Saccharomyces cerevisiae S288C: one gene and its partners. Changing the gene in region 2 together with the main gene of any one other region gives a genetic interaction. Each region holds a gene or a part of one and is shown on either strand. Other genes may lie near its edges.

Region 1 (5,084 bases), on a different chromosome or scaffold from region 2:
AAAATATAATATTTCTTCACATAGTTTACGGTATATATATGTCTGGGTCGGTCAAGTGGTCTACCAATAGGTCATAAATTTGAGCAGGGATCTTAGCGATGAACCCGACGCCCAGCCGAATGATCTCGTCAGCATCAAAATCCGGAAACTGTCGTAGTAAATTAACAGGGGAATCCGATTTGAAAACCTTGGATCTCATTTTAACTAGGAATGCCACCACAAAGAGAATATTCATATGGAATCCATATGCAAACATGAAATCCCACAGTTTAATGACCTGATCAAGCGGTTTATTGCAGCTGGATAACGTGAGTATGGAAGGCATACCATAAATCTCTGCTGTAAGTAAATTGTCCGATAGAAATTTACTCAGCTTTGGATCAATGATTCTGAGAGAAATATCTAGTAGTTTGGCGCCGTTCTGGGCGCCGTTTAGGTTCTTAGTTAGATACGTCGGTATCATTTCATAACAAAGCTTAGTGAAAAGTTGATACGCCATAGGTTCAGAAGGACATGAGTAAAGCAGAGGAGCTAATAACACGTTCATGCCCTGCACATATGTGCTCACAGGAATGCGACCAAAACGAGTCTTTTGTCTTCTTTGTTGTGTTTGCCAAGCAAAGCACGACAGACACCGGATGAGGGCATCCTCTGAGACTCTATTTCTAAAGTTTGGATCCGTCTGAAAAGTTCTGGATGTGTCGTTCTTGATTTTTTGGTAAATGGTTGTGGAAGGTGGGCCCAGTTTCAAGAGCGCAAGGTACCGTTGTGTAGACGCCTCCATAGAAGTTTGAGAGAGCACCGTCCACACGTAACATCGCGTGCGCTGCTGCTGTTTATCTTCAGATATGGGAAGCCCTTCACTGAGTATGAGGTAGCGAAGTTGAGAGAGTGAGGAATGCAGTAGCAGGGGAGGATTTGATATCAGATCTTCAATTGAGGTCATGCAAAAGTTAACAAGTTTAAAAGTCTGTTGTTTCTTTTACCTTTACGTCGTTACTATTATTACTATTATTATCATTTTTTTTTTTTTTTTTTTCAATGTTTAGCTTGGCGTACGTAAACGGTTCCCTTCCGCACGGCGTTTACTGAATTGTCAGGACATAAATTCAAAGAAGAAAGAAGACCTCCAGTGTCATTATAGCATAAGACAGGTATGTAGCAAGAATGAATATGTAAATAAATAGCAAGAATATGTAGAATTTTTAGATTTTATTCGTTTGTTGTTTTCTTTTTTTTTCACTTGAATTTTTTGCCAAACATTATGAGTTGCAACTGATCGTACAATGAGATGACACCAGCTGCAGCGACTCCTCTAAATATGTTGGCACCACAGCCCTTGAACAAGGAATACGCGCCCTCTTTCTGAACAATCTTTCTCAAACAGTCCAGAGCACCGTCGTACTTGATGGTCTGGCCCGAAGTCATCATCATCCTTCTTCTTACCGTATCCAAGGGATACGACGCAGTGGAAGCACCCATGGTAATGACCCAACCTAATAGGAAAGAGGCAACAAAGGACCCCTCTAGAGCCCCCGTCAACAGCACAGGCTTGAAAGAATCGTACAAGCCAAAGTACAGACCTCTGTAGACAATGATACCCAGAACTGAGGGCACAAACCCACGGTACAGACCCAACAACCCGTCCGTTTTCAGTGTCTTCTTATACACGTCTAGCAATCCATTAAACTGTCTTTGCGAGGTTGACTTAGAACCCCTAGCATCCGCTGCAAGCCGCGTCCTTGCGTAGTCCAAGGAATATACAAATAGAAGCGACAAACCACCAGCCGCTCCACCAGAGAAAAGATTTCCAGCAAACCACTTGGCATACCCATCGCGCTCTCTGTCGTAACTCAACAACGACTTAATTTTGTCTTTGAAGGCAAAATTCAGCGCCTGCGTGGGGAAATACCGGAGAACATTGGCGGTGTTACCCCTCCAGAACGACACAATACCTTCATGAGTCGCAGTCCTCTTGAAGCAATCTAAAATTCCCTTGTACCGTGTATCCAACGAGCCCTGTTTAAGCATCTCTTCTTGATTCTGCATCAACAGTTTCACCCGTTCAATGGGAGCGGCACCCGTCTTCGCAATGGCAGCAGAAACGCCGCCCATAAGGAAGTCCACACCGAAGTGTGACTGCTGAGTCTGTGTTTCTGTGTGAGACATTACTGCTGTAAAAAGGAAAAATAGAAAAGAATAACAGATACGAGAATCTGTGCTGCCTTCTTTGCGATAATGCCTTGGCTTGCCTATTTCACGGTTACAGGAATAATAACATGTTCATACCGTTTCAGGACCAATAAATGGTCTTCTGCGAGAGAAAAAGGACACTCTCCGTCCGACAGAAATAAGCTTTACTTTCCGGGTGCGAATCAGCCCGTTGCGCCTGGGGTGGTCCCTACAGTACGCTGAGTCGCCGATAAAGACCCTCCGCCTAGAGCTAGGCGAGGCTGACTTAGGCAGGCCCAACAGGCAAGGCCCATCTTCAAAAGTGCACCCATTTGCAGGTGCTCTTATTCTCGCCAATTGCGACAGAAAATGAAGGATGCACTCAAACAGTCGATCCTTCGAGGGAGTATGCCAAGGCCTCGTGCATGTAGTGCGATTATATATATATATATATATATATATATATGTATGTAAGCAGGCCATGCCCTATAGCTCTTGTTCTATAAGCGATGGATAGGCATAGGAAACGAAGAGGACCCCAGTGTAAGGAAGAGTAGCAAAAAATTAGAACTAGATGACTAACGCTTTGCTCTCTATAGCCGTTTTGCTTTTCTCGATGCTCTCGCTAGCACAAGCGGAGACGCACACGTTTAATTGGACCACTGGCTGGGACTACAGGAACGTTGATGGGCTAAAGAGCCGTCCCGTGATCACCTGTAATGGCCAGTTCCCATGGCCAGATATAACGGTCAACAAAGGTGACCGTGTGCAGATTTACTTGACCAACGGAATGAACAACACCAATACTTCTATGCATTTCCACGGTCTCTTCCAAAACGGAACCGCCTCTATGGACGGTGTGCCCTTCTTGACGCAATGTCCAATTGCGCCAGGCAGTACTATGCTTTACAATTTCACGGTGGACTACAATGTAGGCACCTACTGGTACCATTCACACACGGACGGTCAATATGAAGACGGGATGAAAGGTCTTTTCATCATCAAGGATGATAGCTTCCCCTACGATTACGATGAGGAACTTTCTTTATCGCTTAGTGAGTGGTACCACGACTTGGTCACGGACTTGACGAAGTCGTTCATGAGTGTTTATAATCCGACAGGTGCTGAGCCCATCCCACAGAACTTGATTGTTAACAACACGATGAATCTGACATGGGAAGTCCAGCCCGATACGACGTATCTTTTGAGAATTGTCAACGTGGGTGGGTTCGTTTCGCAGTACTTTTGGATCGAGGACCACGAAATGACCGTGGTCGAAATCGACGGTATCACTACCGAGAAGAACGTAACGGATATGCTTTACATCACTGTCGCTCAGAGATATACAGTCCTGGTTCACACTAAAAACGACACGGACAAAAATTTCGCCATCATGCAGAAATTTGATGACACCATGTTGGATGTCATTCCAAGTGATTTACAGCTGAATGCAACCTCTTATATGGTCTACAACAAAACCGCTGCGCTGCCCACACAAAATTACGTGGATTCAATTGATAACTTCTTGGACGATTTCTACTTGCAACCGTACGAGAAAGAAGCCATCTATGGCGAGCCAGATCATGTGATTACCGTTGACGTTGTTATGGATAACTTGAAAAACGGTGTGAATTACGCCTTCTTCAATAATATCACCTATACTGCACCAAAAGTTCCTACTTTGATGACCGTTTTGTCTTCAGGTGATCAAGCAAACAACTCCGAAATCTACGGTTCAAACACGCACACTTTCATCCTAGAGAAGGATGAAATCGTGGAGATTGTGCTAAATAACCAGGACACAGGTACCCATCCTTTCCATTTACATGGTCACGCTTTCCAAACCATCCAGAGAGATCGTACATATGATGATGCCCTAGGTGAAGTTCCTCACAGTTTCGATCCGGACAACCACCCTGCCTTCCCAGAATACCCAATGAGAAGAGATACTTTATACGTTAGACCACAATCCAATTTCGTCATCAGGTTTAAAGCCGATAACCCAGGTGTTTGGTTCTTCCATTGTCATATCGAATGGCATTTGTTGCAAGGTTTGGGTCTTGTTCTCGTGGAGGATCCTTTTGGTATCCAAGATGCTCATTCTCAACAACTCAGTGAAAACCACTTAGAAGTTTGCCAGAGTTGCTCTGTGGCCACTGAAGGTAACGCCGCTGCCAATACACTGGATTTAACTGATTTAACTGGTGAAAATGTTCAGCATGCCTTCATTCCTACCGGTTTTACCAAAAAAGGTATTATTGCCATGACATTCTCCTGCTTTGCCGGTATTCTTGGTATTATCACAATTGCAATTTATGGTATGATGGATATGGAAGATGCGACCGAAAAGGTTATTCGAGACTTGCACGTGGACCCTGAAGTCTTGCTAAATGAGGTTGATGAAAATGAAGAGCGTCAGGTAAACGAAGATCGTCATTCCACTGAAAAGCATCAATTTTTAACTAAAGCCAAACGGTTCTTCTAATAAAGGAAGATCATGTATTTTGCGGTTAACCTGTTTTTTTTTTTTCGGTCAAGGGTTCCAAATGCATTTGCATGTAAAGTGAATGCCCTTGTCTTACTTAATATTACATAGACATATACTTAATAATCTACCACGTTTCAAATTCAATAATGCATGCTTCTTGGCGGTTTTTGACATGAGATCCTCATCTGTCACGAGGCTGATGTGCATACTTTTACTTTTAATCGATGACATGATCAGTTTCTTTTGAACAAAAAGCCGTTATGGGTTGAAAAAAAGTGAAAATGAAAAAGTCATCAGAAATATATGAAAGATATAATAAATTGTCGAAGAGAAATTACGTCGAGGAGGTTGAGGAAAATAAGAATGGCAACGACAGATATCATATCTCTAGTAAAAAATAATTTACTCTATTTCCAAATGTGGA
Region 2 (11,988 bases):
AACAATCATCCAAGAAAAGGGTACCACGAGTCCGAAATATCCCTGGGCTGGAAATACCGAGGAATAAAAGGTCTAACCTCTATCAGGACATCAGATTTGATAAGTCCACCGGTAAAGCCCTTGATAGTTCTATCATAAGAAAACGTTACCAGTTCTTGGACGAATATAGAGAAAAAGAAATTGATGAACTGCAGAAGCTGTTACAAGAAAGAAAATTTCTATCAAAAATAGACCAGGGAGAACGTGAAGAAATGGAACAAAGACTGAAAAGTATGAAATCGAGATTGCAATCAATGAAAAACAAAGATCTCGAGCGTGAAATTCTCAAGGAATACGAAAATGATATGAATAAAAACAATAATACGAGATACCATTTGAAAAAGTCTGAGAAACGTAAAGTGGTGCAAAAGTGGAAATTTGATCACATGAAGGCCAAGCAACGTGAAAAGGTCATGGAAAGGAAAAGGAAGAAGAGATTGGGTAAAGAGTTTAAACAATTTGAATTTCATAATCGTAGGTAGAGTATTTAAGCAAAAGAATGCACATTAAAGTAATATATAGAGAAAGATAAAAAAATAAACGCACACATAAACTAATGGAAGTAAGAGGTTATCCGCGAACCACAAGGAGAAAATCGAATGAATCGGAGAGGTGACAACAAAAAATTTGAAATACACAAAAGGTTGTCTATATACAGGATATATCGATTATACTTGTTTCTTTTTGGCTTATTTTTTGGGCTTAACGTCAGCACCACCTTTAGCTAACCACTCAGTAATAGAACCAGGATAGATACCAGTGTTTTCGTACCCATAAGATCGAGCCAACTCTTCGGCAGTTTTGGCTCTTACTCCTTTCGCACAAAGAAAAATCAATTCTTTATCGTGAGGTGGTTTAGCAAATTGGAAAACTTTGTGAAACTCCTTTTCGGGCAATCCAAGAGCGCCAGGGGCACTATTCACCGGAATATTTATTGTAGTTGGCATCTTGTAATCCTTTACTTCCTTGGGTTCCCTTACATCTACCAATAGTTTTTTATCATTGGGGTGTTCGACTAGGTTCCTGACCTGGTCAAAAGTATAGATCTTTGGAGCCTTCGTTGTAAATGTTCTCAGGACCAATGTAGGCGATCTTGCAGAAACTGTCCTCGAGAGAATACCTGTACTATGCTTGAACATCGTTGGTCTTTTTCTTCTGTCTCGCTTCCATTTGTTGAGAGTTATCGCTATCTTATTCCATTCAGATTAAGTTTTGTATTTTTTTTTTTATACTTCCTAATTTCTTTGCGCCGCCGCTATCACAGCCAATGCAATAGGCAAATATTATGAACGGTGTGACATAAATGGCATAATACGTTACTAGCTTACGAAAATACACAGGGTACATACCTAGAGTATACAAGGCTATAAGTCAAGTTTATCACCCCCATGAGAAACCCAATCATTCATAGAGCCAGGATATAGTGAGGTGTTTGAATATCCATGTGAGGAGGCGACTTTTTGAGCTTCTCCCCCGCGTTTGCCAGAAGCACAATAAAATATTAGCTCCTTGGCACTGTCAGGTTTTGGGATGCCAATCTGTTTCTCAAATTCTAAAGGATCTAAGGCAAATGCGTCAGGGTGCGATCTATATGGCACATTGATGGAAGCAGGAATATGAACAATCGAGTACTCAGATGGTTCTCTAACATCTACCAAAACCACATTAGGATCATGCTTTCCAACGATTCTTTTCATGTCTTCAAAACTGTAAGATTGAATATTTGAAACATTCTTACTTTGACTCTCGGTTCCATTCCAAGCATTCATCACGGCCTTCCACATTTTAATATCGTTTCTTAGTCACAAACCCTGAAAATAAACGAGAAAGAATTCTTTGATTGATTAAGCCTCCACTCTCTTTTATACACCTCAAAAATTCTCCCCTTACTTCCTTCCCCGCGGGTAATAATATTCTCCAAAAAAAATACAAAAGCAATCAGATGTAACTTATATAGGTTCCAAGATAAATAACAAATTATTTGTCATTGCAAGTAGGAAAAGGACATACCGTAGGTGATATCTGGATTTGGGCCTTATGGAAGCCAATCTTAGTAGTAATTCGTCCATATGTCTACCAAAGGGGATAACAAAAAAGTACAACTACAAATTTTTCACACAGTGTCCCGTTAATTTCATATACTCAATATGCTGCGTTTAATCAAGAAAAATTCTGATATTTTGCGACAGAAGGTGTCCCTGGAAAGCGCTTAGTATGCTGTATGATCTTTGAAGTACAATGCACAGGGAAATAAATCACCATATCTGACGATCATCTTGCTAGTTTCTAAGTTCGGAACATCTTGTCTATGCGCCAATAAAACTAGTTTTACATCGTACAGAAACACTGTCCACTTAGAACTGGACACTTGTTTGCCCAGTATAGTTCTGATACTATTATTATGTATAATTCCCTCAATATTAAGCACTTTATGCAAACGTGTTGGCCCATTGAGGCATTGATATACGGCAAGTAATAGCACCTTTTGCTTCTTACCTTTATCAATTTGGAAATAATGTTCGAATTCTATTTTATTTTGCAGAATCCTTAGTATATTTTCTTCGTCGAACTTTTGTACACTATTTAGCTGAAACTTCATAAGCTTTCCGCTCAAATTAACCTTTGCATTTGTTGATGTCTGGCTATTCATTGGGGATGGGACCGGCTGGTGAGTGGACCTCTTACATTGTAATGATTTGTTCCTTTTCTGTAAAAGTTGTAGAAACGCGTCGTAGTACTTCTGCAAGTCGGCAAGAATGGGTTCAATCTGCTGAACGTCCAAACTAAAATCCTCCAAAAGATGTCGCATTTGATTTTCAATCATTGACAATCTCTTTTTATAGCCCAATGTAATACGATCGGCTTCGACAATTTCATCTTCTGAGTACTCAACTACCGAATCGTGGTCCAAATACATCTTGCCAAATTTTGTTTGTTGCATAGTTTCACTGATATACAATTCACCTGAATTTACCACCGACAGAACATATCCATTTCTCTGCTATGGAGTATCAATGTAGTCTTGTTACATATTACGACACAGTTTTCTTTCCTTTAAAATAAACGCGTCGTTCTCATCTCATGTGAAAAACTATATCAATAATATAAAAACATAAAACCCCTATAATTTATGAACATCTACTGCATTTAGATAAACCCTTACGAACTATATGTTTTAAAATAAAATACACGCATGCGAAATTTCTATTACTACCTAAACCGCATTTCTAATACAAAATGAGAAAAACCCAACAGTGAATAACCATATAGTGTCTAACGTAATCTTAAGTCACTGACGACAAATTCGCCATCACCAAGATGTTGGGTGTTTCCGACACGTCTCACAATAAACTGCTTGGAGTCCTTGACGTAATCAACTATAGTGACAGAGGTGTTGAAAACAATGATCTTATGAGCTTGATGATTTTCATACTTTAACCATTGTAAAATCATTCTGATAGCACCTCCATGACTAACTAGGGCTAGATTCTTGACACCTTCATTAGATGCTTCAGCAACTTCTTCTTCGACACATCCAGTTAACCTAGCAACAAAATCGTCACTTTTTTCCCCAAAATTTCTAAAGGAGCCTTCACCATGTTTATCAGCATACTTTTCAGCCTCAGTAATCTGCATACCTTCAATAACACCCATATAACGCTCCCTTAACCCCGAAGTATAGGAAGTAGGCACATTTTCTTGTTTTGAATGTTTCAAAACTAAAGCCGTAGTTTGCCTACACCTTTTTAAATCACTACTGACAACCTTATCAAAATGAATACCTCTTGAACGCAAGTAATGCCCCAATTTAGTGGCTTGTTCTTCTCCCGTAGGATTGATCGAGGTATCTTTGTGACCTTGCAAAATTTTTTTTACATTGTGTTCTGTTTGTCCATGCCTAATAATGAATAATCTGATGATGTTGTTATCGTCATTATCGCAATAATATGGTACTTCCTTAGTCATTCTTGGGTATAAATATATTTTTGGGTGCTTGTATAGCTTCGAGCTTCGTTGCCGCTTTGATCTTACAGTATGAGACTAATTCGAACCAGAATGAATAAAGCAATACTTTATGTTCTACAATTCAAAAAAGAATTAAGTAATATTGTGACGACCTGATTTTCCCATTGTATTAATATCGCTGGAAAAAAAATTACTGAAAAAAGAGGAAATCCCGCTAGAGGAAAAAAAGAAAAGGTTATATGATCGACCTGAAGAAATCTGCAGTACAAGATAACGCCTTCGAGTAAACATCACTGAGAAGAAAGGCATATTCAGCAGACATAATGCAGAATGAACCAATGTTTCAGGTCCAGGTGGACGAATCTGAAGACAGTGAATGGAACGATATTTTAAGAGCGAAGGGTGTAATACCAGAACGTGCACCTTCGCCCACTGCAAAGTTAGAAGAAGCATTAGAAGAAGCAATTGCCAAGCAGCATGAAAATAGACTAGAAGATAAAGACTTGTCGGATTTGGAAGAACTAGAAGACGATGAAGATGAAGATTTCTTGGAAGCTTACAAGATCAAAAGATTAAATGAAATCCGCAAATTACAGGAACGTTCCAAATTTGGAGAAGTTTTCCACATTAACAAACCTGAATACAACAAAGAGGTTACTTTGGCCAGTCAGGGAAAGAAATATGAAGGTGCACAAACCAATGACAATGGTGAAGAGGATGACGGTGGTGTCTACGTATTCGTTCATCTCTCGCTTCAAAGTAAACTACAAAGCAGAATTCTGTCTCATCTTTTCCAATCTGCTGCATGCAAATTCAGAGAAATAAAATTTGTAGAAATACCTGCCAATAGAGCAATTGAAAACTATCCCGAATCCAATTGCCCGACATTAATTGTATATTACCGGGGTGAGGTAATCAAAAACATGATAACGCTACTAGAACTGGGTGGTAATAATTCCAAGATGGAAGACTTTGAAGATTTTATGGTAAAAGTTGGCGCTGTTGCAGAAGGAGACAACAGACTGATAATGAACCGAGACGATGAAGAATCCAGGGAAGAGAGAAAATTGCATTACGGTGAAAAAAAATCGATCAGGTCAGGTATTAGAGGAAAATTTAATGTCGGCATAGGTGGAAATGATGATGGCAACATTAATGATGATGATGATGGATTTTTTGACTAAATAGTGCGAATATTCCTTATTTACAGGCTAAGTGGTGTCACTATCCCCATTATTTAATATATACAGATATAAAGAACAGCAAACTTTGTCATGTACTTCTCTGAATGTTTACGCGAGGATTACGGTATGTATGATTGAACATCGCTGCAGCATGGATTTTAGTAAGAGCCGTTGTCATGGCAACCAATTAAAGCTCTTTAATTACCGTCAAGCATACTTAGGATACAGATACAATAAAACCCCTTATTAAGTTCGAGCAGGCACATCTTGACAGAATAAACCTTTTAAATCGTCATATGGAGCATGGTCTGGTATCAAGTTTTACTACTTTTTCGCTTTGTTGTCAGAGGATAGAAATTTACTTTTTCTAGTTGTGCGTATAAAGAACACTATGGATGCAGTAATACAGAAAGTAATCTGTTCTACTTCGGTGCATTTTCAAACTGAATTCTACCACAAACCCCAGAATTATTATTATGAGTGAAAAGAAGAAAGTTCTAATGCTACATGGTTTTGTCCAATCCGATAAGATATTTTCTGCGAAGACTGGAGGATTACGAAAGAATTTGAAGAAGTTAGGTTACGATTTATACTATCCTTGCGCCCCACATTCAATTGATAAAAAAGCGTTATTCCAATCAGAGTCAGAAAAGGGTAGAGATGCTGCGAAGGAATTCAACACCTCAGCGACTAGTGATGAAGTATACGGGTGGTTCTTTAGAAATCCCGAATCTTTCAATTCCTTTCAAATAGATCAAAAGGTGTTTAACTATTTACGTAACTACGTGCTAGAAAATGGACCATTTGATGGTGTCATTGGATTCAGCCAAGGTGCAGGTCTTGGGGGCTACTTAGTCACTGACTTTAACAGAATATTAAATCTTACTGATGAACAACAGCCCGCTTTAAAATTTTTTATTTCATTTAGTGGATTCAAATTAGAAGATCAATCCTACCAGAAAGAATATCATAGGATTATCCAGGTGCCCTCTCTACATGTAAGGGGGGAGTTAGATGAAGTTGTAGCAGAATCTAGAATCATGGCATTGTACGAGTCATGGCCCGATAACAAAAGGACATTGTTGGTTCATCCTGGAGCCCATTTTGTCCCAAACTCGAAACCATTCGTATCCCAAGTTTGCAATTGGATCCAAGGAATTACTAGCAAAGAGGGTCAAGAGCATAATGCCCAACCTGAAGTAGATCGGAAACAATTTGACAAACCTCAATTGGAAGATGATTTGTTAGATATGATCGATTCCTTGGGTAAATTGTAATTCGATAATTGATATTTATATGAGCTACATACAATTTTTATAAAACTATTGAAAATATCGACGAGAAAAAGGAATAGTGTGACTTTTCTGCCGCCTTCTTTGACGTTTGATTTTCTATACCTGATTTATATCTGTTGCTAAAGAAAGAATTTTCGCGGCACACGAATGATATATATTTAACGTAAGGATTTCTTTTATCTGGCGGAAGTATCTCAATATATTAATATTAAACGCTGTTGAACACTATCCTAGGAACACTGACAGCTAGAAGTGATCATAAGACATTGCATATAAAATAACTATTAATTTTAATTAAAAGAATTTAATTAGAACAACAGGAAGGTGTTATAAGAAAGTGCGAATGAGTACAAATACGGAAATCATAAAAAATAGTGATTTGCAAAGTTTAATCAATGATAAGAGGAGGTTAATAAATGAAATAAAAGACTTTAATAAATCCATTAAACCCTTGGAGTTTGAATCGTATCAGGATTATTTCCTGATAAAAACGTTCAAAAAAGGAATATCTGCAAGTGGCCATGTGGATATTGACAGTTTAAGAAATAAAGAATATGGAATATACTACAAGAAAATCAAGAGGAACTCTACACAAGAAGTCGGCGAACCAATCCCTCGCAACACATCCTCCTCCTCCTCTTCTACTAGATCAAACTCATCAGCTGATATCAGCGATACAGAATATTCAGGTGAGAACACTCCTACAACTACTGGTGCTGCCAGTCGAAGAAGACGTACGAGATCTCGAGCTATTCAAAGAGAAAATAGTCTACCAGCATCTTTACCCTCAATTAGTGAAGCGAATGCAAACAATGATGATGTTACTATTTCTGAAATAAATGGAAGTGAATTGCCATTTCCAATTCCAATATCAGAAGTGGAAAATATTGACATTGCTTCAGATATAACTGAAAGGGATGGTATTAGAAGGAGATCATCAAGGATATCAGAAAGAGACAAAAGACGTTCACAGTCTAGACTGGGGTCAGAAGAAGATGAAGAAGGCGACGGACATGACGGAGATGAAGGGGAGACCAAAATCCAAGACCTATATGAGAGTTTGGTACCCAAAATTTTGGAGTCACGTAGAAGGTCTGATTGGATCCTCCCTCCTAAGGCAAGATATACACCAGAAAAGCAAATGAGGACCAAACCGTCATTCAAGAGCATAAAGATTAATGAACTTGTCGGGAATAAAAGAATACGAAGTATATTATCTAGATTTGAAGGTGGTGTAGCGGGTATACGCAAAAGAGATTGGGACTCTACCCAATAGCTTCTTTGAAGAAGTAAATAAATATAAATAGAGAGAAATATGACGTATCAATATTATTTATGGCGCTGGTATAATTCAATAGCATCTAATAGCGACTTGGGGTCCGGTTTTGGACTGACCACATCAGAGGTTACATCATTATCATCCAGATATTTTTTAGTGGTAGGTCCGATGGACGCAACCCGTAGATGGGAACCTGGTAGGCGGTTACTGTCACCCAAATACTGAGTAATTTCTTTCGTTCCCTGGGGACTGAAAACTACCACCCAGTCCGAGAATACTTCATCCTCATCGCATTCTTTCATGGCGTGTATGAATCTTTTAAAACCGTCGCTTAATTCTTCAGTTTTATAAGTAACCACTTCTCTTACTTTTATTCCCTTGCTATGGAGTTTCTTTGGGATGATATCTCTTCTAATTTCACCCACGAGAAATAATAGTTCACTTGGTGGGCATGCCTTAATATCCGTACTCAAGTCATCAATAATTATATCAGCAAGGATTGAACCATTACCAGCGTCTTCTCCACCTTTAACATTAATGAAACCTGATCTTCTGATGAAGTTAGCAGTAGCAGGGCCTACAGTATAAACTGTTTTACTGAGCAATGCAGCTTTTTGTTCACTTGTCAATGTGGGAATGATCGCTTCATTCAATGACTCTACAGTCCTTTGAGAGGTAATAATAATGTAATTGATAGTATTCAAATAGTTTGGGATGGTATTCAAAACATTTCTAAAATCTTGAATTACATGTGTATGTTTAATAAGCGGTACGAATATGGGTTCAAACGCCTTACTCCTACACTCCAATTCATATTTATCAATGGGGACAGTTTTATTCTTGAGCAGTAATACTCTGACTTTTTTACGACTAGACATCTCTCGAGCAAGGTCTATTTTACCTTTCTGTTTCCTTATCCTTTGACACTAAAATTCAAAAAACTCACTAGAAAGTTCACTAAAGCGCCTTAGCTGACTACAGCACAACCCAACCCCAAAAACTAGTGAACTACACACTAAGAGAATTTATGGTATTTCCATAATTGAAGTATATGTACGATGTATACAATGTAAACAAGAGAGTAATGAAGTGAAGATATGTACACCTAGAGCGAACCAATGATAATTTGTTTTCTTAATTAAGAAAAACCATTAAAACTGGATTAGATTTCAATAATGAAAAGCTAGGAACAAAAAAAATTGGTCTACTTCCAGCCATTTGCGCTTTATATAGACATATGGAGGCGTGATGTCTTAAGCATGGTAATCCGGAAGATCAGTTTATTGAATGATGGTTTTCTTATCCTGAAGGATCCTGCAAATGAAGTAAGTTCAAAGAATTGAAATGAAATCGCCTTTTATACCCTCGCCGCACCAAGGAGCGCGCTGTGAAAATTTTTCGCTTTATCTCTTAGGGCTCCTACTGTCGGTAGAGAAAAGTTGAGTATATTTAAAGCATGAGGTAACTTTTCTGCCCATTTTTACTTCTATTTCCATTTGAATTCAGAAAAGTGAAGCAAAATTACACCATGAGTTCCTATTAACGTCAGCCTCTTTTGTACTCATAATGTGGCTTCGGATGTTTGATGGGCGTTGCTTCAGTGCGTACGGCTCATGGTAGATTAATTATTAGAAAGATGTATCTCCAGCTGTTGATATTAGAGGGGGAAGCCTTTCTCTTTCACCTCGCCTTTTTAAACACCTGATACAGTTGGTCATGATTCGTTCTACATTTTAATTTCTTTATGTAACCACGTTGTATATTTTCAATCTGGAAAGTAACCTAAAAGAGTAAAAACTGTTTATTAAAAAAAATGTTATTCAAAATTTATACATAGTACACGTACAGCTGCCTGAAGAAAGCATGAGCGAATGACTTATGCTTCGTCGTCTTCGTCTTCACTTTCCAAAGCAGCAAATGCGTTGAAACCAAGAATTGGCTTGTCCGCAACAATATCTCTGGTATCAGCAGGTCTGTTGGAAGAAATATTTTTGTTATTTGGCTTGACTTTTAAAGTTTCTTGGGCAATGGTAGCAACTGGCACAGTAGAAGTTGGTGTGGTTTCTGTTTCTTCTTCATCATCTTCTCCACTACCCTTCTTCTTGGCTTCAAATGTGCACCAACCATCTGAATCGGTTGTAACCTTAGGCTTGTTGTGCTTAATCTTTGGTCTACCATGATGGTGGGAAGATCTTCTACGACCGAAATGACCAACATGATGACTGTTAAACTCTTCCTCTTTCAAGTGTTGCAATTGCTTAACTTTTTCAATGATGGCTCTAAATTCCACCGCATCGAAATTAACTTCCAAAGTTAAACTTGGCTTCAGTTGAAAAAGCTCATCGATAGTATACTTGATCATGTCGTGAAATTAAATAAAAGTTCTTAATCCTATATTCAGGTTACAGCTCAAATAATGTCTATCGCAATCGGTAGAATATGCTTTACGCCAAATACTTTTTCCAATTTTTCACTATTTTTCGTCCAGGAAAAGAGATATTCAAGCCTCGCTACTACCCGGCTTTATAATATAGCATAAGAAAAGGGACTATAAAGCCTTATTAAAACACTACTATACCCTTGCAGAGAGAGTATTATTATCTATGGAGATCCAGGCAGTGTGACATGAGTGAACTGCTTGCCATTCCACTTAAGCGAACTTTAGAAGTGGACTTTGCCACGGAGTTGTCAAAACTAATTGATACTACTTCCTTTCAAACGGCATCCTTTTTCCAATCAGACATACTCAAAGTTGTTGATGCAAGAAACAATGCGATTGCACCCGATATCTCAATCGACGGTCTTTCTGCACTGAAGGAATACTATGTAATATTGTTGCAATTAGAGAAAAAGTTTCCCAATAATCAAATAGAATTTACATGGTTTCAAACGCTATCACAAAAATCTCGTGGTACTAGTCAATACTCATTACAATGGGAAAAATTAACCATTATTTATAATATTGGTTGCATGTATTCACTGTTGGCTCTAAATAGCAACAATGATGCAGCCGAATCCCTCAAAACGTCATGTCTGTACTTCCAGAATGCCGCCGGATGCTTTAAACATGTTTTAGACCACCAAAAAAATCTTGAGACAATCCCAGTGGTAGATGACGCCACATTGAACGCTTTAACCTCCCTGATGCTAGCACAAGCGCAAGAATGCTTCTGGTTTAAAGCCGTGCAAGATAAACACAAGGACTCCTTAATCGCGAAGTTGTCACAACAGATCGTGGACTTCTACTGCGAGGCTATTAATGACGCCCAAAGGGGGAAACTTATTAGAAGTGATTGGATAAACCACTTAAAGGCTAAAAAGGCTTACTTTAGTGCGGTGACTTATTACAGAATAGCCTTATCTTTTAATGAGAAGAAGCAGTTCGGAAATGTTGTGAAAGCTCTGCAAATGGGATTGCAATTTATAAATGAATCAACACTATCTTCGCAAGCTAAGTTTAAAACTGTTGTCGAATCTTCTCTGAAAGAAGCCCAAAGAGACAATGAATTCATCTACTTACAAGAAGTTCCTTCGGAATTACCATCGATCAAACCAGCTCTCATGGTTAAACCATCTTCTTCAGCAACATTGTTGCCTTCTATTAAAAAGGATGAGACTTTATTCAAAGACCTAATCCCTATAGAAGTGATGGAATATTGCACAGCATACAATGAAAGGCAAGATGAATACGTTGAACAACGTGTTACCAATCCCCTTGCTTCCCTAAATAAACTATTGAAGGAGTCCTTGACTACTTTCCAAATACCACAAGGGCTTACAAAGGTGAGTGAAGCAGAACTGAGTCATTACCAGGCATCACTGAATAATCTTCTCATTAATAATAAAAATGTGCAGGTACAACTCGATAACATTGAGCAAATTTTAAATGAAGAAGCATTTACTGACAATCAGCTCCGACTAAAACACGGAACCTTAAATTGGACTTTACCCGAATCTTCAACTACTAACACAGCATATTATGAAAAACTAAAAAAGCTGAGAGGATACCTTGATGAAGGTAGTGCGATTGACAAACAAACAAATGAACTATTTCAAAGCATCGATAAAAATTTGATTGGATCAGAGATCAGGTTACCGGAATCTAATGATCCTCTAACGAATAAGATTAAGATGATCATACAGGAAAGAAATGATTATATTGATAGGACGAGGCGGAAATCTTCAGAATATAGAATACTTCCAAAGATCATTACATCGTATAAAA
Region 3 (3,942 bases), on a different chromosome or scaffold from region 2:
GTACGAGTATTGTGGACACAACCACAATCTCGCCGACTCTGACGTCAACGAGTACGACCCCATTGACAACCGCCTCAACCAGTACAACACCATCAACTGATATAACATCGGCACTGCCCACGACTACAAGCACAAAGTTGTCAACATCCATTCCCACAAGCACGACATCGTCAACCTCTACCACCACAAGTACCTCATCGTCGACTTCTACGACCGTAAGTGTCACATCATCAACATCTACCACCACAAGTACTACGTCGTCAACCCTCATTTCCACGAGCACATCATCATCATCATCATCAACTCCAACCACAACATCGTCAGCCCCCATTTCTACAAGCACGACGTCGTCAACTTCCACTTCAACAAGTACAACATCGCCAACTTCTTCTTCAGCACCTACAAGCTCGTCTAATACAACACCAACGAGCACAACGTTCACTACGACATCACCCAGTACAGCCCCTTCAAGCACTACGGTTACTTACACCAGTACCACAGCATCTCCAATAACGTCCACTATAACTTCTGTAAACCTGCAGACCTCCTTAAAGTATTCTGTGATAACAGTGACTTCAGTGCACACCATGGACACTAACATTTCGGAAATCACCTCGAGATATCTCACCATGAAAAAAGTAATAACGCAGATTTACTCTTCCACCCTCGGGGCTACTCCTACTTCTGCAGTGGCTACTACGTCTGCCAGCGTAGGTGGTAGAATAACAAACAATAACAATAGTAACACCACCAACAGCAATACACCAACTAACAAGTCTACAGAAAAGAAAGGGTACTGGGATTCGCCCGGGAAAATAGCCGCTACTTTCGTCGTGGTTGGAGTGGTATGTTTGGTAATTATATGCATACTAATATACTTAATACATCATTATAGAACAAGACCCGCTCGGAAGGCTCAAGATTTTGAGAATGAATATCAGAGTAAGTTTTACCAGTCCAAGTACCCAAATGAAGTTACCACTACCACGTTACACACGCCTTCACCATCTTCAAATTCAACTTTCTCGACCCCAAGATTAATATACACTGATGAAAAGGGACAAATTATGTCTGAATCACCATCCCCACGTCAATCTACGTATTCCTTGACTGCAGGCAGTCCACCAAATGACCCAAGCACGTTGGCAAGCCCATTTCACGATCCCATTCTTCCCAGAAGAACTTCTACTTTTCTTCATTCGCCCATTCAAAAGCAACACGAAAAAATGGAATCAAACGTTACTCTAGGTGAAGACACGGTACTGGTGGATCAGAGGCTAGACCCAAGTAAGATGCTTAACACTTTAGCAAATGACGATGCCACAAACCACTCTACCATTTCGTTATCAGACAACGTAGACTACTCCAGGAGGGTTCTGCGGCTAATGAACGAATAAAGACTGCAGCTCTTATACGTAATAAATATTCCACGAACGATAATACATACATAATTTTAATTCTGAACTTTGTTTTTTTCCTTCGAATGTTCTCAAAAGAATGCTTTACGACAATAACGCTGTTATCTTGTACATACTTTTCTCTGCCCAGTGACAGCAGGCACAATAATCTAAATACCGCGTTCGTGCGAGACATTCTCTGTGATTCACAGATTACGGCGCAGAAAATAAAATAGCCGTCCAGCTCGGAGTTTCTAAAATTACGTCCGAGATGACGGAGGCTTATAAAATCATTTCAGACGGGTGAGGGATGCCAATCTACGAGACAAAAGATAAAAAATTAAGACTCAATAATATAGAAAGGAACTAAATGTTTTCATAAGAGTCACCGTCTATAACCTTTTTTTTTTTTATTGGTCTGTTATCACTTCCACTGAGAAAGTAATATTGCTATTGCACAACACTTTTTGAACAAGTGCAAAGATAAAATACTGAAAACGGTAAAGTAGGTTTGTTTAAATTGACTTAAGATGGTGCCATTGGAAGATCTGCTTAATAAAGAAAATGGCACTGCCGCACCTCAACACAGCCGGGAGAGTATAGTAGAAAATGGGACAGACGTTTCTAACGTCACAAAGAAGGACGGGCTGCCCAGTCCTAACCTATCTAAAAGGTCTTCTGATTGTTCGAAGAGGCCTAGAATTAGGTGTACCACGGAAGCTATTGGCTTGAACGGTCAAGAAGATGAACGGATGTCACCAGGCAGCACTTCTTCATCATGCTTACCATATCATAGTACTTCACACTTGAACACTCCTCCATACGATCTATTGGGCGCTTCGGCAGTTTCACCCACCACATCATCTTCCTCTGACTCGTCCTCCTCCTCGCCATTGGCACAAGCGCATAACCCGGCAGGTGATGACGACGATGCGGATAATGACGGTGATTCTGAGGATATAACACTATATTGTAAATGGGACAACTGTGGTATGATTTTCAACCAACCAGAGCTGCTATATAATCATCTGTGTCATGACCATGTTGGCAGGAAGTCACATAAGAACCTACAATTGAATTGTCATTGGGGAGACTGTACCACGAAGACGGAGAAAAGGGACCATATCACCTCGCATTTGAGAGTTCACGTACCATTGAAACCGTTCGGTTGCTCTACGTGCTCCAAAAAGTTTAAACGTCCGCAAGATTTAAAAAAGCATTTGAAAATTCATCTGGAAAGTGGCGGTATTTTGAAAAGAAAGAGGGGACCCAAATGGGGCTCAAAAAGAACTTCTAAGAAAAACAAAAGTTGTGCAAGCGACGCAGTGTCGTCTTGTTCTGCATCTGTGCCTTCCGCTATAGCTGGTAGCTTTAAGTCACATTCTACTTCTCCACAGATATTACCCCCATTGCCCGTGGGTATATCTCAACATCTGCCTTCACAACAGCAGCAGCGGGCTATTTCCTTAAACCAACTATGCTCAGACGAGCTATCTCAGTATAAGCCGGTATATTCTCCACAATTGAGTGCCAGATTGCAAACGATCTTGCCGCCATTATACTACAATAACGGCAGCACGGTAAGCCAAGGTGCCAACAGTCGGAGCATGAATGTCTACGAGGACGGTTGTTCTAATAAGACCATAGCAAACGCCACCCAATTCTTCACCAAACTATCGAGAAATATGACAAATAACTACATTTTGCAACAAAGCGGTGGTAGTACTGAGTCCTCGTCATCATCTGGGCGCATCCCCGTAGCACAAACAAGCTATGTGCAGCCACCTAATGCTCCTTCATACCAATCCGTACAAGGTGGTAGCTCTATTTCGGCCACTGCAAATACAGCAACTTATGTGCCAGTACGGTTGGCCAAGTATCCAACTGGTCCTTCGCTTACTGAACATTTGCCACCTTTACATTCGAACACTGCCGGTGGTGTTTTCAACCGCCAATCACAGTATGCTATGCCACACTATCCATCTGTTCGTGCTGCGCCTAGCTATTCCTCCAGTGGCTGTTCTATATTACCGCCTCTACAATCAAAGATACCAATGTTACCATCGCGCCGTACAATGGCAGGTGGAACTTCATTGAAGCCTAACTGGGAATTTAGCCTGAACCAAAAAAGCTGTACTAATGATATTATCATGAGTAAGCTGGCGATTGAAGAAGTAGATGACGAAAGCGAGATAGAGGATGATTTCGTAGAGATGTTGGGTATAGTGAACATTATCAAGGACTACTTGTTGTGCTGTGTCATGGAAGATTTAGATGATGAAGAAAGTGAGGACAAAGATGAAGAAAACGCATTCTTGCAAGAATCTTTAGAAAAATTGAGTTTACAAAACCAAATGGGAACTAACTCAGTTCGCATCTTGACCAAGTATCCCAAAATTTTGGTATGATATGGATTGTCGGATATTTTATTCTTAGTTGTTTCTTTGCGGCTGTATAGTAAATGAATAAATCACACATGCCCTAGCGCGGCGTCGCGGATTAAACAAGGTAACAATGGTTAAAGGAAAAATTATTTGTTAAGGTG

Evidence for each region.
Region 1: mutations in RIM20 (region 2) and FET3 together harm fitness more than expected from each alone (negative genetic interaction), as found in Saccharomyces cerevisiae (3 studies listed by BioGRID, with this or other methods).
Region 3: of RIM20 (region 2) and RIM101, extra expression of one rescues a mutant of the other (dosage rescue), as found in Saccharomyces cerevisiae (4 studies listed by BioGRID, with this or other methods).

What each region holds. Positions count from the first base shown.
Region 1 is NC_001145.3:386,076-391,159, forward strand, and holds FET3 (ferroxidase FET3), read left to right. Parts: upstream 1-2,746; coding exon 2,747-4,657; downstream 4,658-5,084. Other genes in the region: BUB2 (Bub2p), read right to left, coding at 26-946; ADP/ATP carrier protein AAC1, read right to left, coding at 1,240-2,169; SEN15 (Sen15p), read left to right, coding at 5,024-5,084. UniProt on the Saccharomyces cerevisiae protein: Iron transport multicopper ferroxidase required for Fe(2+) ion high affinity uptake. Required to oxidize Fe(2+) to Fe(3+), which is then transported into the cell via the ferric iron permease FTR1. Essential component of copper-dependent iron transport.
Region 2 is NC_001147.6:839,470-851,457, reverse strand, and holds the start of RIM20 (Rim20p), read left to right. Parts: upstream 1-10,388; coding exon 10,389-11,988. Other genes in the region: rRNA-processing protein RRP36, read left to right, coding at 1-521; thiosulfate sulfurtransferase RDL2, read right to left, coding at 729-1,178; thiosulfate sulfurtransferase RDL1, read right to left, coding at 1,404-1,823; HUA2 (Hua2p), read right to left, coding at 2,249-2,980; YOR283W (phosphoglycerate mutase), read right to left, coding at 3,313-4,005; PLP2 (Plp2p), read left to right, coding at 4,329-5,189; FSH3 (putative serine hydrolase), read left to right, coding at 5,666-6,466; RFM1 (Rfm1p), read left to right, coding at 6,828-7,760; uroporphyrinogen-III synthase HEM4, read right to left, coding at 7,814-8,641; CAF20 (Caf20p), read right to left, coding at 9,640-10,125. UniProt on the Saccharomyces cerevisiae protein: Required for the proteolytic cleavage of the transcriptional repressor RIM101 in response to alkaline ambient pH, which is necessary for sporulation and invasive growth.
Region 3 is NC_001140.6:49,184-53,125, forward strand, and holds RIM101 (alkaline-responsive transcriptional regulator RIM101), read left to right. Parts: upstream 1-1,927; coding exon 1,928-3,805; downstream 3,806-3,942. Other genes in the region: WSC4 (Wsc4p), read left to right, coding at 1-1,397. UniProt on the Saccharomyces cerevisiae protein: Transcription factor that mediates regulation of both acid- and alkaline-expressed genes in response to ambient pH.